7 linked regions of the Tribolium castaneum genome follow. The protein of the gene in region 1 binds, or shares a complex with, the protein of each later gene. Links are inferred from orthologs where the notes say so. Each region holds a gene or a part of one and is shown on either strand. Other genes may lie near its edges. The genes, in order: SmE, ncm, Sf3b5, 116 kDa U5 small nuclear ribonucleoprotein component, SmF, wmd and crn.

Region 1 (2,467 bases):
TTGAGCATTTGAAAATTGGGAAAAAACACTCAACCCCTATGCACAGATTTCATATAAATGATCCTTTGGTCCTTTGGGATCGGCTAGGGCTCATTAACATCAATTTTGTATCGTTTTGGCATTAATTTTGAGATTTTTCTCGCCTAATTCTAGTTTTTGGGGCTATTAAGACTCAAACAACACTTTACACTTCATCACAGTTTGGAAAATATAAATAATATAAATAAAAATAATCTCCGGTGCAAATAAAAAAATTAAGGTTCAAAGAGGTTTTGGGCCGCAAAGGTGTAGCACTTACCTTACCCAAATTGAAAAATGTGTCTTTTGAGCCGGTTTTTCCCCGAGTATTCTCCATAAACACAGTCAAGGGGCAGGTCGTTGTGCGCATCGCGCCAGGTCACAGTCTGCGCGCCCGCACTTTCAAATTCACAAATATTCCACAAAAACAGGTGCCCCACTTTGCATTTTTGAACCACCCAGTCCAAATAATCACTAGTTTCGTTCGATTTTCTGAGAGATAACAACACTGACTGACAATCACGCGATGACAACTGTTAAAAGCAGCATCCATTTGGTGCAAAGTCAAAGCACTCTTGGCAATTTTTTCTTAAGTGTGATTTCAGGCATTTATCTAACTTTTTGAGCAAAATAACCCTTCCTATTCAGTAAAGAGTTGATTTAAATGTCGTTTCACATCTTTATATCGAGTTTATAGCTTGTCGTTTTTTTCTTTAAAGTCACGTAAAATTATCCCGCCAAAACCAAAATTGTGTCATTAAGGGTAACAATGACAAAGAAAGACCTATTGACGATTGTGTGTGTGTAAGACACGGCGCAACTCCTCATATTAGCTATTTCAAAACTATAAAAACGCCAACCTCGTATTTTCTCTCAAAATTAGTTGTTATAAATTATTTATGCACTTCAAAAAACTAATAGGTAATGTTATTTATAGTCTCAATGATTTATTTATTAATAACTATTTTACATTTTTATCAACCTTATTAAAAAAAAATTGAGTTTATGAGACACCAAGTTCAAAAAAAATATATAAAAAACTATCACGTCAAAGAAAGCTAAATGAGAATAAAAAAAATTTTTTTCGAGACATTTACGCCCATCTGATGATAATTATGGAATAACTCAGCTTGATTAGTTAAGGAAAACCCAAAATATAAATTGTGCGACTATAATTCTGCGTGAATAATTTTGGAAAAAAAATGGGACGTTGGTGTTTTTATAGTTTCGAAACAGCCTAAAAACGACCAAACCACCAGACCTTTTTCTGGTGTATTTCAGCTCGTCAAGCTTCCCGCGTTCCACGATTGCCAACAGAATACAGAACTCACACAGATAACCTTACTTTGGTCGTATTGTAAGCGTCGCCTCATTTTTTAAGTTTTATAAATACTATTGCAAACTTTGAACAAGTTTTTTTCTCTTAATACGAATAATTCGTGCTGTGTGAAAGTGTGTTTGCACTTAGCTTCCTTAAAGAACTTTTTTTGCCGGTAACCCAAGACTCCTCTAACCATGGCGTACAAACCACAAAAAGTTCAAAAAGTGATGGTACAACCCATCAACTTAATTTTTCGTTACTTACAAAACCGTTCACGTGTACAAGTGTGGTTATACGAGAACATTAATCTGAGAATCGAGGGGCACATTGTGGGTTTTGATGAATACATGAATCTTGTGCTGGATGATGCTGAGGAATATTACGTTAAAACGAAGAACAGGAGGCAGCTGGGAAGAATCATGCTTAAAGGAGATAACATAACGCTGATACAGAACGTGAATCCTCAATCAGGCAATTAGTTGTAAATTGTAGCGTAATTCTAAGTTTCATAACAATTTTTTCATTCGTTGGAGTAATGTGTTTGTATGAAAACCGCAATTGGTCTTAGTATTAAGTGATTCATCAACTTTCTGTAAAAGAAATGCGGACATTAAAATTATTTTAGTAATTATGTCTATTTTTATAACTTCAAAGTCCTTAAAATTAAAATGTGATGGACAATACAGGTAATTATCGCTTTTTTAGAATTGTGAAGCTTGTAGGTGTTCCAATATATTTTTTTTGTAGGGGGTAAAGCTGCGACAGGTTTTGTCGAACGTTGCGTCAGCTACATTGGCGAAAATGCTGTAGAATGTGTAAAAACAAACTCATTTCTTTCTCTTCCCAAAGAAGCAGTCTTAAAATTAATCTCCTCAGATTATGTAAGTTTTAAAATTTTACTTAAAATCATTTATTACTGTTTCAATTTAGCTCTGTTTGGAGGAAGAGGATGTCTGGAGAGCAATTTTAAACTGGGCAAAGTACCAAGCTGGTGTCACCCAACCCACAGCCCATTGGACTGAAGAAGAGAGGGCCAGAGTGTGCCAGCACCTCTCACATGTCATTTCTCACGTCCGCTTACTTCTGATTGGTAAATTAAATTTTTTTTTTCTCTTATTTATTTGTAAT
Region 2 (4,291 bases), on another chromosome or scaffold:
TGGAGGCCTTATTTTCGGTCTTGTTGCGCATTTTACGATAACCCTTTTGTGACCTTTTTATCGGAACTGCACCCAAAACTATAATTAAAATTCTTTCCCCTAACTACTCAAGCGAGTGGTCAATTAATTTCTAAAAAAAGAGCGATTTGTGCGAAATAATTATTTACCATGACTGCAAGTTCCACTTGTAATTATTCCAAGCAAGATGATTAACAAAAGTCGCAACCTTGGGCCCAGCACCTTTAGCACCTACACCAACCCGGCACGCTTTTTTACTTAGAAAAAGTACCAAAAATTGGGCAAAATTTTGGAAAAATGGGAGAGGAGAACGCGCACGGTATCGGCACCGAAAGGTTGAGAACCAACTGAATTGCTATAGCATGGGTACTCTCCATAAAGCAGCCTCGGGCTCTTTTGTACGGATTGGTTTCGTTGGTCGATCTTTGAAACAGCTGGAGCTGGGTTTAAGTTCACTTGGCAGTGACCTTGATGCCTCGAAAACGCTGCATTCGCACTGTTTATTGTTCAAACTGTTTAATAAAATATGGTACACGCAAACATTTCACATATTCATGGGAGGCCTCCGCGAAATTCCGCAAAATTAAAATGCGTGACCTTATCGTTCTCCGCGCCGATTTTTTAAAATCCACAAACTGAATAAAATACCTTGTAACACTTTCAGTATGCCGTAAAAACGCTCTTTTCACCGCGGAAGTATTGTTGAGAAATCTTTGATCGAACTTGTTATTGTGCCATAAAAATTTAATTGTACGCTAGAGCTGTTATTAGCCACTATTATCGGTTTTTGCTTGTTTTTGCACCAACAGCCATTTCTCTTCAAGAAAAAGCGAAAGTCTGTGTCAAGTTATTCATTTTATGGGAACACATTAAAAGTCGCTGTCGAAGTAAATATTCTGAAAATATCGCGACCTGAGAACCATAAGGTTCTGACTATTTCACAATTTTACAATATCATATCTTGTCTTCTCAATTGCCTGAAATGTTATCATAAAATATAACACGTATTATATGTTAATCTACAAACAAACAATACACAATACAAGAAAAAAATAGCAAACTTTTCAGACATGCTCTACTTAAAATTTTATTGTTTTGAACTTTTAAATCAATATTTAAGGTTCCAAAGTAACAAATTTTGCCAAAATTACTTCCATGTAGGTACTTTTTGTTTTCTATCAATAGCTAAACGTTACATCATCTAGTTTTCTTTTATTTAACATTTAAAGATCATTAAAATCCCAAAATTCCCAGGTCGTGATATATTTTTTAGGCAAACGTGACCCCCAAAATCACATTCAAATTTTTTTGAAATTTTAGATTTGTCACTAATTTAGTAAGTCTGTAAATTTTCAAATATGTCTGGAATTAATAAAACCACCAATTCCTGGCCCTCTAGTTATGTTATAATTGCGTAAACACGTACATATAATTAATTATAATTTATTCTAAATGCACAAAAAAATCTGGCGACTTTAAAATTCAAAAATAGTAGGGAATTTGTCATTATCACCAGTGCCACATAACCTCAACCTCTTGCGTTGTTGTGTGTTGTCAATAATCGCCCCAATTTCTTACTGTGTTTTTGTGAGTGCTTAAAAAATGACCACCGACACCGAAACCTCCCCACAGCCCAAACCCAAGCGTAAAAGCCGCTCCAAATCCCCTGAATCCCGTAAAAAACGTCGTGACGACTCGCCCCATAAAGACTCCCGGAAGCGTTCCCGCCGTTCGCGTTCACGAGACCGTCGCAAAAGTCGCAAATACCACGACTTGGACCGCCCCCTTGAAGAATACCCTCGGTATTACGGCGAGGATCAAGAACACAAGAAAAACAGCGATAGATATTGGACCAAATACCCCCGCAAGGATGACCATCAGGTGGGTAGTAGGTATTACGGGGGCGAGCCCGACGATAAAGACAAAGAGTCTGAGAAGGAGACGGATAAGTCGGTGATAGCCCCCCGTGAGCGCAAAACCGTGGATTTACTGACACGGACAGGTGGGGCTTACATCCCTCCAGCGAAGCTGCGGATGATGCAAGCGGAGATTACTGATAAGAGCTCGGCGGCGTATCAAAGAATTGCGTGGGAGGCGTTAAAAAAATCCATTCATGGGTTTATTAACAAGGTGAATACGTCCAACATTGGGATTATTTCGCGGGAATTGCTCCATGAGAATGTGGTAAGGGGGCGCGGACTGCTCTGCAAGTCCATAATACAAGCGCAAGCTGCGTCCCCAACTTTCACAAACGTGTACGCAGCCCTGGTCGCTGTCATCAATTCGAAATTCCCTAATATTGGAGAATTGTTACTGAAACGTTTGGTTTTGCAATTCAAGCGCGGTTTCAAGCAGAATAATAAAATTATCTGCATTTCGGCCACGACTTTTGTGGCTCATTTGGTTAATCAGAGGGTTGCGCATGAAATTCTCGCCTTGGAGATTTTGACTCTTTTGGTGGAGACGCCAACTGATGATTCGGTTGAAGTTGCGATTTCGTTTCTGAAGGAATGTGGACAGAAATTGACTGAGGTTTCGAGTAAAGGCATTAATGCCATCTTTGAAATGTTGAGGAATATTTTACATGAGGGGAAGTTGGAACCGAGGATTCAGTACATGATTGAAGTTATGTTCCAAATCAGGAAGGACGGGTTTAAGGATCATGCCGCTGTTATTGAAGAGTTGGATTTGGTGGATGAGGAGCACCAGTTTACACATTTGATTACGCTGGATGATGTTAAGCAATCAAATGCTGAGGATATTTTAAGTAAGGAAACTTTTTAATTAGGTGGAACTGTACTTAATTTTTTATACAAAAAAATCGGGGTATCCAGGTTTTGAGATTTTTTATTATTATTTTTTTATTTCTCAGAAAAAATTATTTTGAAATTTTAATTAATTAATTCCTTAATTTGCCTCGTTCACTCTGTGATTATCCTGTCTAGATGTGTTTAAATTCGACGACAACTACGAGGAAAACGAGGGGAAGTACAAGACTTTGAGCAAGGAAATCCTGGACATGGACAGCGAGTCGGGCTCCGGCTCGGAGGAAGAGTCCGGTGACGAGGAAGACGACGAAGACGAGGACGAAGAGGAAGAAGAAGGCGCCCAAAAGAACGAATCCAACATAATCGACAATACGGAGACCAACCTCGTGGCCCTACGCAGAACAATCTACTTAACCATCCAATCAAGTTTAGATTTTGAGGAAAGTGCCCACAAACTAATGAAAATGGAACTGAAACCGGGCCAAGAAATCGAATTATGCCACATGTTCCTCGACTGTTGTGCCGAACAACGGACTTACGAGAAGTTTTACGGATTATTGGCACAGAGATTTTGTCAAGTGAATCAGATTTATGTCGAGCCATTCCAACAAATCTTCAAAGACACGTACGCCACAACACACAGACTTGACACAAATAAATTGCGAAATGTTAGCAAGTTTTTCGCACATTTGTTGTTCACCGATGCGATTGGATGGGAGGTTTTAGAAATTATGAAACTGAACGAAGAGGATACCAATAGTTCCAATCGGATTTTCATCAAGATTTTGTTCCAGGAATTGGCCGAATATATGGGCTTGGAGAAGTTAAATGCCAGGCTTAAAGATGCGTAAGTGACTGTGTTTGATAATTAACGAGGTTTTGTTAATTTTTTGGATTTTTTTCAGAACGCTTCAGCCACATTTTGAGGGGCTGTTTCCGCGCGATGATCCCAAAAATACAAGATTTGCGATTAATTTTTTCACGTCGATTGGCTTAGGGGGGCTTACGGCCGAGTTGAGGGAACATTTGAAAACAGCCCCTAAAGTCAATCCCTTGACGATTACTGAAAAATCAAGTGATTCTAGCAGCAGTAGCACTAGCAGTTCAAGCTCATCCAGTTCCGATAGTAGTGATTCGGATTCGTCAAGTTCCGAAGATGAGAAACCACGTAAGAAGAAGGAAGAAAAGAAGAGGAAAAAACCGACAAAAGAAGCATCAGACGATGATAAAAAACGAAAAACAGATGCGAGGAAACACAGACATAATGAGAGACGGTCACGCGATCGAGACGATCGGAGGCGGCGTAGGAGCCCCGAGAGGAAGCATAAGAGTAGGAGATAAGTTACTTTGTACATAAATTGTATTGAATAAATATTTTTATTTGTGACTTGTGTTTGATTCCTTAAAGTTACCAGATTTGAATTTGGCGCTTAGTCAAACCCACACTTTTGGCATTTTTTTTGACGAAATGTGGGTGTTAATTAAATTGCGTGTTTGTGCTTTTG
Region 3 (2,264 bases), on another chromosome or scaffold:
TCCTGATAAAAAATGGTTATATTTAAATTACGATAAGTATAACGCAAACAAAAACTACAGGCTGATAGAGCATTTAGGGCCACATTCATAATCGGGTTTAAAAGAGCATTAAAGTAGATGTTTATTTTTCACAAATCTTTCACACATTCCAAAAAACATTTAATTTAATGCTCCGTTAAATTCGATTATGAAAGTGGGCCTACATTTTCGATGGCAAGAAATAAAAGCACAAAAATTATCATAAACAATATTAAAAAAAGCAAACTTTCACCATATTTTTTAAAACGCTGCAAATATGGTTGAAAAAAGTGTATAGAATGCTTTTTTCCGAGAAAGTCTGCCATATCATATTTCTATCATTAACCATTTATTAGGTTTAAACAAATTTAGCGTGAGCGGCTGAAATATGGCCTCAAGAATTTTTTTCCACAAAAAAATGTCTGTTAGCTGTTTCAAATTTATAAAAACGCCAACGTTGCATTTTACCGATTTTATTTTTAAATAAGATTGATAAAAATATGAAATAGTTATTATTGATTAAATCTCTTATTGAAACTATAAATTACATTAGTTATTATTTTTTTGAAGTGCATGAATAATTTATAATAGCTAATTTTGAGAGAAAATGCGACGTTAGCGTTTTTATAGTTTTGAGACAGCTAATAATATACGTATTTTTCCCCATTTTTTCAGTTCGTCTCCTTTTTTCTCAAAACAGTTAAAAACTGACCAAATAAACACATAATGTCTATATACGTAAAAAATTACTAAGTATAAAAACTAGCATAACATAATATAATAATAAATAATAGTATATTTAAAAACAAGTTTTCTATGGGATGAGTGCGCCAAAACCCTTATAAAACGAGAATGTTTTTATGATTTTTTCTTATTTTAATTAAATTTTTTTGTCGTCTAGGGAATTTCGTGTCAGTTGGTGACGGTAATAAATAATAAATAAAGAAGAAATGATGATTAAATCGATCGTACGTGTATTCCACGCATTATCGATGAAACTCTTGAAAACTAAATATCCCTAAATTCATTAAAGTACACTGTACTTTAATAGCCATAAACGACTCCTACTGATATATGTTAATACACGTGTATTATAAACGAAAAATATAATATAATAATAGAGAGACTGACCACTATCCTGTTACACTACAAAACGAAGGATTTTTAAGGCTCATATTTACAATTGCGCGTTATTCAAGTGAAAATAGTATAGCATTTTTGGTGGCACCTAAAGAAAATTTCAGAAATACAACACACCCTGTATAATAAATGTTAGCGAGAGGAATAAAAACCTAGGGACTTTTTTGCTGCCGAACAACAGTGGCAACCCTAACATTTAACACTAATGAGTAGTGAGTTGAGTTCGAGGTTAGGTGAACTTAGGAGCATCAAAACAAAAGTGTGTTTCTTCTTTGTGTGTCTCTATTTCGTAATTTACTGCAATTTGTAAAAGTAATGGGCGACCGCTACAACATCCACAGCCAGTTGGAGCATCTCCAATCGAAATATATCGGAACAGGCCACTCTGAAATAACGAAATACGAATGGCTGCTGAACCAGCATAGAGACAGTTACGCCAGTTATTTGGGGCACCACGATTTGTTAAATTATTTTGCGATTTGTGAGAACGAGGCAAAAGCCCGAGTTAGGTTTAATCTAATGGAGAAAATGCTTCAACCGTGTGGTCCACCTCCAGATAAACCCGAGGATTAGATTATAGTAAAGTCAATAAAAATTTTCATATAATCGTTGTTTTTTTTAAAAGACCATTTTAGAATTCTTCCGATAACTAAAATAATTGTAGCCGAAAGGTCTACTTTGTATTTCATTTCGCCTTTATTAGAATAGAATACCTACTTTATTTGTGTCAATACTAATTGCACTAATAGAGTATTCCACACACGCCGCAAAATTAACTTACATTTAAATAGGTATTACTGTATTACATAGGCAAGATATCACTAAAATCATTCCGAAGATATGTATTCCTTAATCGAATAAAAAGTTTTGGAAATTAAATAGTGTTTCAAGTTCTTTAATAAAAACATGGAGGAAAATTTCTAAAGGTAGTGGAAGGGCATTTAAAAATGTATTTATTTATTACCCTTATTAGGAATATAATTTTTTCTAGTACAATAATTTATGACTTTAAGAGAATATTCTTAGCTTTAGTTCGCTGCATTTTTATAAAAAAAAAACAGATTTTCAATATATTTATTTTTTATTTACCAATTATAGTGACAATA
Region 4 (3,500 bases), on another chromosome or scaffold:
GCTCCACGGCGATTTTAATGATGCTTTGGGTGTTGAATTTAAGGGGGCGGAAAATGTACAAGTCCTCGTAGATTGTGAGGTCTGTGATTGTGGCTGTTTTAACGATTGATTGGTCGATGCCCTCGATTAGGACCCAATTGCCGGCAGGGACGCGGTTTAGCTCGATTTTGTATCTGGAATTTTGATTAAATAATGCGGTATTTTTAGAATTTTTGAAAGTCAAGACGTAGTAAACAACTCGTTATCATTAATTCATTAGTCGAGGTCATGGAACTTATCTCTAGATGAACGGCCTTGGGGCTAAACGAGATTTTACAACTCGTTGGTTACCTCATTTATTGCGGTTGAGACGCGCAAAAAAATTGCTCCTGGGTTTATTAACGAATCTGATAAGGGCTTAATTGTTTTTTGTTGTTATTTTTGGAGGGGGGGCGAATGGTAAACATTACGACGGTTATGTTATATTATGAGTGTTATGACAAGCAGATGCTTATCAATTAATTAGAAAAATAGTAATTTAGTTAAAGACAGGACGTAGTAATTTTTTGTTTTAAATTTTAACAAGTTCCATTTTATTCCGGACAAACGAACTTATTTATGTTTCTTATGTAACGTCATTCCAGAAACTTAAATATGTATTCCCAGTATTTTCATGTAAGGCTCTAAAGCGTATAGTTTTCGAGTCACACATTTCTTAAATAAATCTAAAAATTGGAAAAATAAAAATCTACCCAATAGACAAAATATTTTGAACTAAACGCCCATATGTAAACTGCCCCGAGAAGTAAATTGAAGTTAAAAAATCGGAAAACTTCAGTTAATTTAGAAATTATCGACATCAGCTAAAAAAATTACAGACCATTAGAGCAATTCTCAATAGTTAAAGGTAAAAGTTGTGAAAAAATACAGAAAATCAAACAAAGAAAGAAACAAGCGTTTTTTTAAATTTAATCTAGTTATCCATGACAGTTACGCCAACAGTGAAACGTATTCGGAGATAAAATTAACTAGACGCCCTCTGGTGATGACTTTTGAACTATGTCGAAAACAGTAAAGAAATTTTCGTAATGCCACATTTAACTGACATTTAATGAATTGTTCAACAATTTTGCGTGTATAGTGTTAATTACTTACAATAGAAAGAATCACTTTAAAAGTACGTGGTGGTAAATACTAGCGTTGACTTTGGTTCTGTAGTTTTTCGTGGTATAAAGTGTTTATTGTTGGAACTTGAAAGTGGATAAAAAGTGAAAAATATTTAAATTTTGATTACAAAGTGTTATCAAACAGTTGTCTAATTAAAGATTATAAGTAATGGATCACAGCGAACACAAAGTTTGGCTCAAGAAACCAATAAATTAGTGAAGTGTGTGAATTTTAGGTTAGAATTTTCCACTGAAAAAATCATGAAATGCTGCGGTAAATCTACAAAACTACAATAAAGATTAACAACTGCTGATACATTTAAACGTAAATTATGCCAAAAGGTAGGCTTTTCAATGTCTTTGTAATAATTTTCCAATAAAGAAAGTGAACCAAACAGTCATTCGTTATTCGTGTTTTCCTCGTCATCTCTCATTTATCAACATAAGTTTCTTGCATCAAAGATGCAATAATCATTCCGCATAGGCAATGTAATAATTGTGAAGCCCCAAAATTCGTACAACGCTCAAAATATCCGAATAAACATTTTCCCTCCATTTATGGTTACTGTTTTCGACCTAGTTCAGTGGCGCCCCCAACGGTAATTTTACTTCCGAATTGCGTAAATAATTTCAGCATCGCTTTATCTGTCAATATGTCCAAAATATTCACCGAAGAACATAAAAAAAATATGTTGGAAACTTATTTCCGTAATGTACATCGAGTTAAAGTAACTGTCATGGATAACTAGATCAAAATTTTAGAAAATCGCATGATGTTTTAACCTCATGGTAAAATAAATAAATGAATAAATAAATAAATGGTAAAAGACACAATAAAATATAAGGGACAAAGTATACAATTATGTTCAACCGTATCGGTTTAAATTGCTTTAAAAACACAAAATCACAGGCACCACAGCACACAATTAAAGATAAAAATACCGAGAACTTTTTGTAGGAAATTTTTCATGGATTTTTAACGATATTCGCAGCATTTTGAAAAATATCACACAGCGCAAAATTGAAATTTTTAATAGAAATATATTTTTCTCATATTTGTTGTTCGATTTTCGTCAGTTTATTAAGAATATTTGTGCTTTTATTCCACGATTAATAAATTAGTTAAATGTAAATTGATTTAAAATAATTTGGAGCTGTGTTAATTTTTTGGGTATTTTATATCTCGTTTCGCCTCATAAAATTGTAGACTTAATTATGACTCACCCAGTATTGTAATTTTACGAGTTTTCCATTATATTCGCACCTATACAATTCATTAAAAATTAAAATCAAAAATGATTTTACGAGCATTTTAACGCATTTTTCATGCAGAAATGCAATTAATTACTCGTATTATCAACCATTTCAGGAATAATGACACCGAAATTTTCAAAATTATCGTAGTAATGTTAAGTTTCGATTAAGAATTCGGTTTATATTTAATGTATTTTGTGACAAGAGTTTTTTTTTTGTTGTGGATTTAAAATGGGAAAGGATAATCATTTAAATTGAAGTAATTCAGTGAATTCTAAAATTTACAAAAAAAATGGTTACATTAAAATGTGGACCTTTGGTCCAAATATATGTAATTTAAATTTTGTTTGAATTGATTAATAAATAAAAAAGTTACGAGGGGGTGCACTTTTCGGTGGGACACCCTGTACATTGTCTTGTAGACGGGAACATAAAATACTGACGTACTACAAGTGTTGAACATCTTTTGAAGAGTATTTTTCTAGTTTCTGGTAGAAAATTGAAATCGGTAAGTAAATTGATTAGTAATATTATTTTTATATCTTCGTAATTTTTGCTGTCCCGTCCGTTATTGTGGTTCTTATTTCTTACGTCGTTAACCAAGACCAAAAATTTTTAATTTCTGTCTAATTTTGATAATGTTAGTCTTTAATAATTAAAAAACCTGGCTGAATATTTTTTTAGAGATATTTTCACACACAAGATTTTTTTGTCCCGTCCGTTATGTGAAACAAAAATAAATTGCAAACAGTTTAACTGGTACTACCAGCTGTTTCAAAACGACAGAAATGTCAACAACGCATTTTACCGAATTATTTTTTTAAATAAAATTGATAAAAATGAAAAATAAAATTAAAACTCTAATGTTTAATGAACTATTAGCCCTAAATAAAATAAATAAAATTTAGAAACCTCACGTTGTAAAACCGTTTAATATCAAAAAAATGAGAACATTACAATTTTAAAAAACAAGAAAATCGTAATTTCATATCTTTGAAAACTCTAGGTTTTATAATTATAAACCCCATCTCTTTATTCATCGAACGTATCTTCAAAAGCATTGACAAATAAGGAAGTTGTATTTCTGTTTATGCAAGAGTC
Region 5 (2,318 bases), on another chromosome or scaffold:
GGAAGACTAATCAAGGCATTATTGGGTCAACTGGAACGGGAATGAAGAATTAGAGGAGAGTCGGAGGAAAGGAGGCAAAGTTCAAAGTGTGTTACCTTTTTTTAATTGGACGGGGATTTAACAACATCTAAGCGTGGAGTGATAAGACTATCGCAAATGACGAGCTGTTTTGTTATATAACTTTATTTATTAATAAATTACGTTAGAAATGAGGCGATAAATCGATTCGTTCGGGGGGTTTACAACCCTGATTAAGGGCTCCCACTAATCGGGGCCCCAAACAATTACCTGGCACAATTGGGCGATAAAATCATCATTTTATCAGAGATAAAAATAAATAATTCATTAATGACGAGTCTGTGCCAAATTTCGTGACGCTAACTGTACTTTCACCTGTTTCACCTTGATAATAATAATACAATTGACGTGTAAATATTTACAAGAAAAATGGTAAAAATAACCCGCTAAACCCACCCCAAACCTAATCAAGCTTGTTTCAGGCCCGCTACTTCAAGGAGCAAGACATTGACGGTAGGTACCCCCGTGATAGCCCCCCAAACTAACTCGTAAATCTTGTAGAATTTCGCGAGTGTTTCTACTTGTTTGCGCGCTCGGGGCACATCAAGTCCCTGGACGAACTCACAGTGATAATGAGGAGTCTGGGGCTGTCGCCCACCATCTCAGAGCTTGCGGGTTATTTCAAGCAAAAGAACGGCAAAATGAGCTTTGCTGACTTCTTGGAGGTTATGCATATTCACTCACGGGTGGAGAACGTGCCCAAGGAGGTGGTGGACGCCTTCAAGGCTGGGGACCCGGAGGGGAAAGGGGTGATTCCGGCCAAGCAGCTGCGTCACATGTTGCAAAACTGGGGCGAGTGTCTTTCGGCCAAGGAAATTGATCGGATTTTCAGAGAGGCAAATGTTAATAACAACAGTATGGTGCGGTACGAGGATTTTGTTAAGATTGCCTGTGCACCAGTGCCGGATTATTACTAGAGGGGGCTTACCCTAACACAGTCTTTTCCACGAAATTATGTAAAACACATGTCACAAATTTTTATTTTCGGATTTTCGCACTGGGGGGTTGGCAATGATTTTTCGGTTTGGTAAAATAGAGAGCCGGCAATCAACCCCCGCACAGTTATTTATTCTAACGCCAATAAATCATTAATTGACCACAATCCTTGTTTTTTTTAATTACGGTAATTTTAGTCCAAGAATCACAAAAAAACAATATGCGCCCTAAAAAATCAGACACCCATCAACTTTTTATACGTCGATGGTGGATGGAAATTTTGACAATTGACACAATTGTCGCTCGATTCCAACCTCACTTTTGCTGGTTAGCGTTGTGTCAACGTTTTTAGTTTATTTGCGATTTTTTGCACACAAAAACAACAACCATGTCGACCGCAATGCCCATAAACCCCAAACCTTTCCTCAACGGCCTAACAGGCAAGGCTGTGATGGTAAAATTGAAGTGGGGGCACGAATATAAAGGTTACCTTGTCTCAGTTGATGGTTACATGAATTTACAATTAGCAAACACAGAGGAATTTATTGATGGGAATATGACTGGTATGTAACTATGCTTTGGAGGCGGACCCCCTTGTGTAACATTTTTTTACAGGTAACTTAGGGGAAGTTTTAATTAGATGTAACAATGTCTTGTTCATAAGAGGGGCTGAAGAAGAGGACGAGGAGGGAGAGACGAAGGATTAATTATTTAATGTAAATTCAAGTTTAAATGTACGATCGGATACTTACGTAAATAAGTATTGTAGATTTAATTTTTTACCAAATAAATCGTGTTAAAGTACTTGTTTTTTTTTCTACATGTAACGTTACGATTGTCTACCACAAAAAAAATACACAAACTGTTACGGATTATAAACAAGAGAACTTGCTTTTGAAAAAAAATACAAAAATATATTTATTTGTTTAACATTAAAGGACGCTATAAAGTGGGGGATACATACAGTGTTCTATAAATAATTATAATGGAATAAGGAAATGATAATTAAGTACCAAAAATGTAAATTAAATCCTTGTAGTTAACGGCAAAACGAACAGATAGCAGCACAACTGAAGAAAGTTCCCCTGCACTTACAGTTACCTCTCATACACCTGCTTTTGCATTTACCCGAGAGGGAGCCAAAACATACTTTATATTTTAAAAAGCATCAATTTAATTTAATTTGATAACTTTGGCACACATTGGTCACAAGAAAAATTAAAAAAAAATTAAGTGTCATCAAATGAAGAGTCAAATACTAAAAATATTTTTTGGGCCGAAGCGAAAAAATTCAAAAACCCTTT
Region 6 (3,573 bases), on another chromosome or scaffold:
ACAAATGGCTATCCTAAATTTAGGCAAAAATTTTTAAATTTTTAATTCTTGTGAAAAATCGATATAATATGTAAAATGAGCCGTAGAATTCAATCGAATAAACCGCAATGCTCTACGACTTTTAATTTTTTTTTATGAATTTTTTTAGTGAAAAACTTTGATCGCCTCTGTAGCCGGAACCGTTGCCCGGAGCGGCTCCGGGTTTGGTCGAAAAAATAGACAAAATTAAGCGCTATCAGATGGTTTTTTGTTCGTTGCTCTAAGTCTTACAGTTTCCGAGAAAAACGCAAAAAAAGGTTTCCGTTTTCACTTTTTTTCAATTTTCAATCGTCAATTACGGCGAAACTATTAAAGATATCGAGAAACGGAAAAATGGAGGATAACCGGAATAAAAAACTCTACAAAATGGCATAGGACTTAAGGCGATATCTCGCAAATAATTTTTCAATTTTCAAACGCCGATTACGGCCAAACTAAAAGAGCTAGAAGAAAACGGTTTGTTCGATCGTAAAGAGCACATCAAAATCTATAAGACAGAATGGGTTTCCTTTGATTTTGAGACACTTTAAAAATTGGCCGATTTTGGGGGGGGGTGTTAACTTTTTTTTTAATTTTTTTATTTTCTCATTTACGGCTAAACACTATTGTAAAAAGTGGAACTGTTTTGATCCACACCTATGCAAAATGATCCGGGGAATCAATTGGCATCGAGAAAATTGCCAAATTCCCAATAGTTTTTTAGTTATGAATTTTTTAAAATTTTACCAATTTTTGCATTTAACAGCAATTTTCTCGAAAACTATTAGTCGGAGAAGAATAATCTTTTTTGAAAAAAAAAGATAATTTAAAGAGCTTTCCAACGATAATACACTTCATGGGGTTATCTCTAATAGTTCCGGAGCTATTGCTCGAGAAATGTTCCGGGTACCCAAAACCGACAAAAACTGCAACGATAATTGAAAAAATCAAACATCAAAAAATTGAACATATGGACTTTTTGTGGACCTTTAACAACTTTAGTGGGTTGTTAAGACATGTAGAAGTCCATAAAAATTTGCTGAAGTCAGTTTAAAAAAATTTTTTTTTCATCTCTTTGAAGGTAAGTAGTGTATTATAATATAACTCAGGAAATTTGAGCAAAAAAATTGAAAATTTTAAATCTCATGAAAAGTTGGTATAATACAGAAAATGAACCGCTGAATTCAATGGAACAAACCGCATTGCTCTACGACTTTTAGTTTCCGAGTTATGAATTTTTTTGTGATTGGTAGGTAACCAATTATACACCCGCGCATGCGTCCCTTATTGCCACTTTCCCAGCTGTTGTTGACGCTGTCAAATTCAGTTCGCTTTCTGAACTCCTCGTGTTAGTGTGGTGTGTAGGTTTTTAGTATAATTTTTTTGTACCGTTTGACCTAATAAAATAGAAAACTATGGCAAATCTTCGTCAAACCCCCTTAACCTGTAGCGGCCACACTCGTCCCGTCGTCCATCTCGACTTCAGTTCGGTGACAAAATACGGCTATTTCCTAATTTCGGCATGCAAAGGTAAGTTAAACTTTACCTTCGGCGACATTTACCTTGGCCTGGATTCACCGTACGAGGCCGCTTTCAGACGGCAAACCCATGCTAAGGCAAGGGGACACCGGCGACTGGATCGGCACCTTCGAGGGCCACAAGGGGGCGGTTTGGGGCGTCGCGCTCAACAAGGACGCCACCAAGGCCGCCAGCGGCGCCGCCGACTTCACCGGCAAGGTCTGGGACGCCAACTCCGGCGAGGAACTGCACTCCTTCCAGCATAAACACATCGTCAAAAGCGTCAACTTTTCCAAAGACAGTGCCTTATTGGCGACGGGGAGCAACGAAAAAATTGTCCGAATTTTCGATCTGAATAAACCCGAAGCGAGTAAGGTGGCCTCGCATTCGCCTTGGCTCCTTTTCTGATCGGAACGATTTGATTTATTGTTTCAGAACCCGAGGAGTTTACGGGGCACACTTCCGGGATAAGACACGTGATCTTTTTCAGGAATGACACGCATCTTGTCTCGTGTGCGGACGATAAGACTTTGAGGGTTTGGGACCGGAGTTCCGGAAAGGTAACCAAATCTCGAACCACGTCAATTTTGTTCTAGACGGACGGTCGCTACTTTAAAAAATATTGACCAGATTCGAGTTAAATCTACTTCAAATTCAAACACTTAGAAAAAACGTTTGAAAAAAAAACAAAATTATGTAATTTCCGCTTTAATCAGACGATTTTTCATTCGAAAGGGATAAATGATACATGTTTCCAAATATTTACTAGGTTATTGCCGTTATAAAAATAAAAAAACAAATTTGCAAAATTGTCAACTTTGACAATGTAAATGTCACTTTGACAAATTAAATTCCGCAAGATGTCGCCCTACTACGACCGGCCGTCTAAAAACTTTCGCTCTTGATCATAATTATACTAGACAGTTTTTTGCAGGAAGTCCAGAAAATGGACTTCCCGTCGATTCCGAACAGCCTTGAGGTGTCCAGAGACGGCACCGTGCTCACAGTAACCCACTCAAATCACGTCACATTCCTCGACTCCGAATCTCTAAACAAAATTAGAGAATTTTCCGTTCCTACGACAGTCAATTCGGCTTCGCTACACCCCGACAAAACGATTTTCGTCGCCGGTGGCGATGATTTGAAAGTCTACAAATTCGATTACACAACTGGAAATGAAATCGAATCGTTCAAGGGCCACTTTGGCCCCGTCCATTGTGTCAAATTCTCGCCCGACGGTGAATTGTACGCTTCCGGGTCAGAAGACGGCACTTTAAGACTTTGGCAAACCACAATTGGCAAGACTTATGGACTTTGGAAATGCGTTGACGGGCCCCAAATCAACAACGACGCGATTACGTCACCCAAAGAAGTACCCGCGATTTAGCTGTTTGACGAATTTGTTTTCTCCTCCTTCCTCAAATCCAAGTAACTCGTAGTTCTTTCACGATTAGGTGAACAGAAGACGAAAAAGCGACGGAAAACTGATTTATTTATGTTACTATTTGTTTGAATATTTAATAAATAATCACGAAAATTGGCGAGTTTTTGTCCCAAATTCCTGACATTGAAAGCGGGTTATTTGTAAACAAACCGGTTGACCCAAATCAAGGAAAAAGCACCAAAGAATCGCAAAAAGCGAGGTTAGGTTCTGGCCTTAATCAGTCGATCAATGGGAAAACACTAGGTGATAAAACTGATAAGTACGAAGTGAAATGGCCCGATTGCTACATTCAGTGATCTTGGCTAATAAATAATAAAGAAATGTGAAAAAAAAATCCACAAAAAAAGTGAGGTTATACCTCTTGTTTTTCCCCCATTTTCCACATAATTAAAAACGGTAAGAGGCAAAAAAACCTTTATAAATTACAAGCTCCAATTTATTACCGCTATGGTACGATAAAAACTGCGTAATCACAATAAGATAAAAAGTGAGGTTATGTCATTCAAAAAAAAAAAAATAAGAATTGGGTTATGATGCTATTTCAGGGGCCCCGGATGCGGAAATAATTTTTCCCGCATTATCAGCTTCCGTTT
Region 7 (4,161 bases), on another chromosome or scaffold:
CGTACATTTTTTACGCCAACGACACCGAAATCACACATTCGCTCGAAAAAACCTTAAACTTGTCGGACTTGAACACCGAAACCGTCATCGACATCCTCTACCAGCAACAAGCCGTGTTCCGAGTGCGTCCCGTGACAAGATGTACAAGTTCAATGCCAGGCCATGCCGAAGCTGTCATTTCCGTGAGTTTTTCCCCCGATGGTAGACACCTAGCGAGTGGTTCTGGCGATACAACCGTTCGGTTCTGGGACGTGGACACCCAGACACCTTTTAAGACATGTAAAGGGCACACGAACTGGGTGTTGTGCATTGCGTGGGCCCCCAATGGGCGTAAACTAGCTTCGGCGTGTAAAGACGGCAAGGTGGTGGTATGGAACCCCGAAAATGGGGCCCAGATTGGTAAAACTCTAATTGGGCATAAATCATGGGTCACGGCCCTGAGTTGGGAACCCTACCACCAAAACGCCGAGTGTCGCTTTCTAGCCTCGGCGAGTAAAGATTGTGACGTCAGGATTTGGGATACGGTCCTGTGTTCTTGTACTAGGGTTATTTCTGGGCATTTGAAAAGTGTGACTGTGGTCAAGTGGGGCGGTCTGGGGCTCCTTTATACGGCTTCGCAGGACCGGACTGTTAAAGTTTGGAGGGCTAAAGACGGTGTGTTGTGTCGTACGTTAGAAGGGCACGGTCATTGGGTCAACACTTTGGCCCTCAACACTGATTATATCCTCAAATTGGGGGCGTTTGACCCAGTCAAAGACACCCAAATCCAATCACAAGACTTCGTCCTGCGTCGTTACAACGAAATCGTTAACCCTATCGGTGATGAAAGACTCGTCTCGGGCTCCGATGATTTCACTTTGTTTTTGTGGGCCCCCTCAAAAGACAAGAAGCCGTTAAATCGGCTCACGGGGCACCAACAATTAGTTAACGATGTGAAATTTTCACCAGATGGTCGCATTTTTGCCTCGGCTTCGTTTGATAAGAGTATTAAATTATGGGAGGCCAAAAGTGGTAAATTTATTTGTACGTTAAGGGGGCACGTACAGGCTGTTTATGTGATTTCGTTTTCGGCCGATTCTAGACTTTTAGTGAGTGGAAGTGCCGATTCAACACTCAAATTGTGGAATTTGAGGGAGAAGAAATTGGAAATTGATCTGCCAGGTCATGGGGATGAGGTCTATGCGCTTGATTGGGCCTCAGATGGCTCCAAAGTGGCCTCGGGGGGTAAAGACAAAGTCTTAAAGTTGTGGCAAAATTAAATGCAATAAAATTTTGTAATTTTTCTCGAATTTTATTTAAAAAAAAAACAGAAAACTGTAATTGTGCGCGACATGTGGCGTCACCAGTGCAAATCTACAAATCCAATAATACAAAAACTGGCTTGCGGAGTTTAATTACTTACGTAAATTATTGTTTAATCTATATTACAACAAACAAACACTCGATCAAAATTTAAGGCACGATATTTCACAATTTGTGTGGTCCAAACATAACCACAAAAAATCGTAAGGTTATGTTCGTGTTTGTTTGTTGTGCTACAAGTTGGTAAAAGTCGCCCCTGAGATGGAAACCAAGCCGCAAAAGATGCCCAAAGTGGCCAAGGTACGTTATTTACCTTCTCTTTCAACTTAATAACTAACTAAAATAATTTTCCAGGTGAAAAATAAAGCCCCTGCTGAGATCCAAATCACAGCCGAGCAGCTCCTTCGCGAGGCAAAAGAGCGCGACCTTGAGATTCTCCCTCCGCCCCCTAAGCAAAAAATCTCCGATCCAGCTGAACTTGCCGACTACCAACTCAGACGCCGTAAACAATTCGAAGACAACATACGAAAAAATCGAACTGTTATCTCCAATTGGATTAAATATGCCCATTGGGAAGAATCGCAAAAGGAAATCCAACGAGCTCGTTCGATATTTGAACGTGCCTTGGATGTGGACCATCGTAACGTTACCATTTGGTTAAAATACACTGAAATGGAGATGCGAAACCGTCAAGTGAACCATGCTAGAAATTTATGGGACAGAGCCGTCACGATTTTGCCCAGAATCAACCAGTTTTGGTACAAATACACCTACATGGAGGAGATGTTGGAGAATGTGGCTGGGGCCAGAGCTGTCTTTGAACGCTGGATGGAGTGGCAGCCGGAGGAACAAGCCTGGCAAACGTACATCAATTTTGAGTTAAGATACAAAGAAATCGACCGTGCGCGAGAAATCTACGAACGCTTTGTTATAACACATCCCGAAGTCAAACACTGGATTAAATACGCCCGATTTGAAGAAAATCACGGTTTTATCAACTCGGCCCGCTTGATTTACGAACGAGCTGTACATTTTTACGGTGATGACCATTTGGACGAAAAATTGTATATTGCATTTGCACGGTTTGAAGAAAACCAAAAAGAACATGACCGTGCTCGCGTTATCTACAAGTATGCCTTGGACCATCTCCCCAAAGAACAAGCGAAAGAGCTGTACAAAGCCTACACCATACATGAGAAAAAGTACGGCGATCGTTCCGGTATTGAAGATGTGATTGTTTCGAAACGTAAGTTTCAATACGAACAAGAGATACTCGAAAATCCGACCAATTACGACGCTTGGTTTGACTATTTGAGACTGGTGGAGGGGGAAGGGGACCTTGAGACGTCACGTGAGACGTATGAGCGGGCCATAGCCAACGTGCCACCAACGAAAAATAAACAATACTGGAGGCGTTATATTTACTTGTGGATTAATTACGCCCTGTTTGAGGAAATCGAAGCGGTTGATTATGAAAGAACACGTCAGGTTTATAAAGCTTGCCTTGACTTGATCCCCCATAAGTTATTCACGTTTAGTAAAATTTGGTTGTTGTTTGCACAGTTTGAAATCAGGCGGAAGAATCTGATTGGTGCTCGTAAAATTTTGGGGACTGCCATTGGTAAATGCCCACGTGATAAATTGTTCCGTGGGTATATTGATATAGAGATACAGTTGCGTGAGTTTGACCGGTGTCGTATTTTGTACGGGAAATATCTAGAGTTTGGTCCGGAAAATTGTGTGACTTGGATGAAATTTGCCGAGTTGGAGACACTTTTGGGGGATTTTGAGCGTGCTAGGGCCATTTATGAGTTGGCAATCGCTCAGCCAAGGCTAGACATGCCTGAGCTGCTCTGGAAGGCCTATATCGATTTTGAGATCGGGCAAGAAGAGTGGGCTAATGCCCGACAATTGTACGAAAGATTGTTGGAGAGGACAAGTCATGTGAAAGTTTGGTTGTCGTATGCGAAGTTTGAGTTGAGTTGTGAGTCGGATATGAATATTAGTTTGGCAAGGCGTGTTTATGAGCGGGCTAATGAGAGTTTGAAGAGTTATGGGGAGAAGGAGGCGAGGGTTTTGTTATTGGAGAATTGGAAGGAGTTTGAAAGTGCAAATGGGAGCGAGGAGACGAAGGAGAAAGTTGAAGGGAAAATGCCAAGGAGGATTAAGAAGAGAAGGAAGGTTATTGATGAGGATGGTGTTGAGCAAGGATGGGAGGAGATCTTTGATTATATATTCCCTGAGGATGAGGCCAGTAAACCCAATTTGAAGTTATTGGCAGCTGCCAAAAGCTGGAAGAAGCAGAAGCAAACGGAAGAACCGGAACCGTGATTTTGAGAAAATAGAATTAAGGTTTAAATTTTGTTTTATTCCCCTTTTGTCACTTATCCAAGCGCTATCTGGTCAACGATTTTGCACTGCAACAATTAATTTTTTGTGGGCAAATGATAAGATAATAAAAAAATCGATACTTTATTCATTTAAATACATTAAAAGCGAGTGAGTTTTGAGACTTAACAGCCGCCATAATCCAGCTTTGATGAACACAAGACACACGTATGCACACATTCCTCTACGTTTTCCAAAAATTGGGGTTTTGTTGCAACCGTCGTTCAAAATTCGTGTACCAGTTCTGTACTGTAGCCAACGGAACGTACGTGGCCGTGGGATCTGGGACCATTTGCGGTTGCGTCACCGTATAACTCAGCACAAAATTCATAAAATTCTCCAACATTTTCTGAGCAAACGTGACATTATTACTGGGATTATTCGCCGATTCGATTTCCCGAATATTCGCCAGCGGCTCAATAGCGATCCCTATTTGCGCATTGTGTACGATGTGACTTTGCCCGAATAAAA

The links.
Region 2: SmE (region 1) and ncm share a complex: the UniProt entries of both Homo sapiens proteins name them as parts of the minor spliceosome. The link is inferred for Tribolium castaneum from reciprocal best matches to the Homo sapiens genes SNRPE and CWC22.
Region 3: SmE (region 1) and Sf3b5 share a complex: the UniProt entries of both Homo sapiens proteins name them as parts of the minor spliceosome. The link is inferred for Tribolium castaneum from reciprocal best matches to the Homo sapiens genes SNRPE and SF3B5.
Region 4: SmE (region 1) and 116 kDa U5 small nuclear ribonucleoprotein component share a complex: the UniProt entries of both Homo sapiens proteins name them as parts of the minor spliceosome. The link is inferred for Tribolium castaneum from reciprocal best matches to the Homo sapiens genes SNRPE and EFTUD2.
Region 5: SmE (region 1) and SmF share a complex: the UniProt entries of both Homo sapiens proteins name them as parts of the U7 snRNP complex. The link is inferred for Tribolium castaneum from reciprocal best matches to the Homo sapiens genes SNRPE and SNRPF.
Region 6: SmE (region 1) and wmd share a complex: the UniProt entries of both Homo sapiens proteins name them as parts of the SMN-Sm complex. The link is inferred for Tribolium castaneum from reciprocal best matches to the Homo sapiens genes SNRPE and STRAP.
Region 7: SmE (region 1) and crn share a complex: the UniProt entries of both Homo sapiens proteins name them as parts of the minor spliceosome. The link is inferred for Tribolium castaneum from reciprocal best matches to the Homo sapiens genes SNRPE and CRNKL1.

Annotation. Positions count from the first base shown.
Region 1 is NC_087394.1:32,141,501-32,143,967, forward strand, and holds SmE (probable small nuclear ribonucleoprotein E), read left to right. Parts: upstream 1-1,316; 5' UTR 1,317-1,533; coding exon 1,534-1,818; 3' UTR 1,819-1,967; downstream 1,968-2,467. Other genes in the region: kelch-like protein 21, read left to right, coding at 2,087-2,220, 2,270-2,429. UniProt on the Homo sapiens protein: Plays a role in pre-mRNA splicing as a core component of the spliceosomal U1, U2, U4 and U5 small nuclear ribonucleoproteins (snRNPs), the building blocks of the spliceosome.
Region 2 is NC_087398.1:673,937-678,227, reverse strand, and holds ncm (pre-mRNA-splicing factor CWC22 homolog), read left to right. Parts: upstream 1-1,491; 5' UTR 1,492-1,620; coding exon 1,621-2,785; intron 2,786-2,963; coding exon 2,964-3,633; intron 3,634-3,691; coding exon 3,692-4,127; 3' UTR 4,128-4,173; downstream 4,174-4,291. UniProt on the Homo sapiens protein: Required for pre-mRNA splicing as component of the spliceosome. As a component of the minor spliceosome, involved in the splicing of U12-type introns in pre-mRNAs. Promotes exon-junction complex (EJC) assembly.
Region 3 is NC_087396.1:17,669,933-17,672,196, forward strand, and holds Sf3b5 (splicing factor 3B subunit 5), read left to right. Parts: upstream 1-1,293; 5' UTR 1,294-1,417; intron 1,418-1,471; 5' UTR 1,472-1,473; coding exon 1,474-1,731; 3' UTR 1,732-1,764; downstream 1,765-2,264. UniProt on the Homo sapiens protein: Component of the 17S U2 SnRNP complex of the spliceosome, a large ribonucleoprotein complex that removes introns from transcribed pre-mRNAs.
Region 4 is NC_087401.1:10,807,705-10,811,204, reverse strand, and holds part of 116 kDa U5 small nuclear ribonucleoprotein component, read right to left. Parts: intron 174-3,500; coding exon 1-173. UniProt on the Homo sapiens protein: Required for pre-mRNA splicing as component of the spliceosome, including pre-catalytic, catalytic and post-catalytic spliceosomal complexes. Component of the U5 snRNP and the U4/U6-U5 tri-snRNP complex, a building block of the spliceosome.
Region 5 is NC_087398.1:3,706,351-3,708,668, reverse strand, and holds SmF (small nuclear ribonucleoprotein F), read left to right. Parts: upstream 1-1,286; 5' UTR 1,287-1,402; coding exon 1,403-1,577; intron 1,578-1,629; coding exon 1,630-1,721; 3' UTR 1,722-1,818; downstream 1,819-2,318. Other genes in the region: calmodulin-like protein 4, read left to right, coding at 448-450, 501-531, 580-995. UniProt on the Homo sapiens protein: Plays a role in pre-mRNA splicing as a core component of the spliceosomal U1, U2, U4 and U5 small nuclear ribonucleoproteins (snRNPs), the building blocks of the spliceosome.
Region 6 is NC_087399.1:1,129,087-1,132,659, reverse strand, and holds wmd (serine-threonine kinase receptor-associated protein), read left to right. Parts: upstream 1-1,317; 5' UTR 1,318-1,433; coding exon 1,434-1,548; intron 1,549-1,615; coding exon 1,616-1,906; intron 1,907-1,971; coding exon 1,972-2,096; intron 2,097-2,470; coding exon 2,471-2,923; 3' UTR 2,924-3,073; downstream 3,074-3,573. UniProt on the Homo sapiens protein: The SMN complex catalyzes the assembly of small nuclear ribonucleoproteins (snRNPs), the building blocks of the spliceosome, and thereby plays an important role in the splicing of cellular pre-mRNAs.
Region 7 is NC_087400.1:96,392-100,552, reverse strand, and holds crn (protein crooked neck), read left to right. Parts: upstream 1-1,465; 5' UTR 1,466-1,563; coding exon 1,564-1,602; intron 1,603-1,656; coding exon 1,657-3,633; 3' UTR 3,634-3,661; downstream 3,662-4,161. Other genes in the region: Nle (notchless), read left to right, coding at 1-1,259; protein OPI10 homolog, read right to left, coding at 3,875-4,161. UniProt on the Homo sapiens protein: Involved in pre-mRNA splicing process. As a component of the minor spliceosome, involved in the splicing of U12-type introns in pre-mRNAs.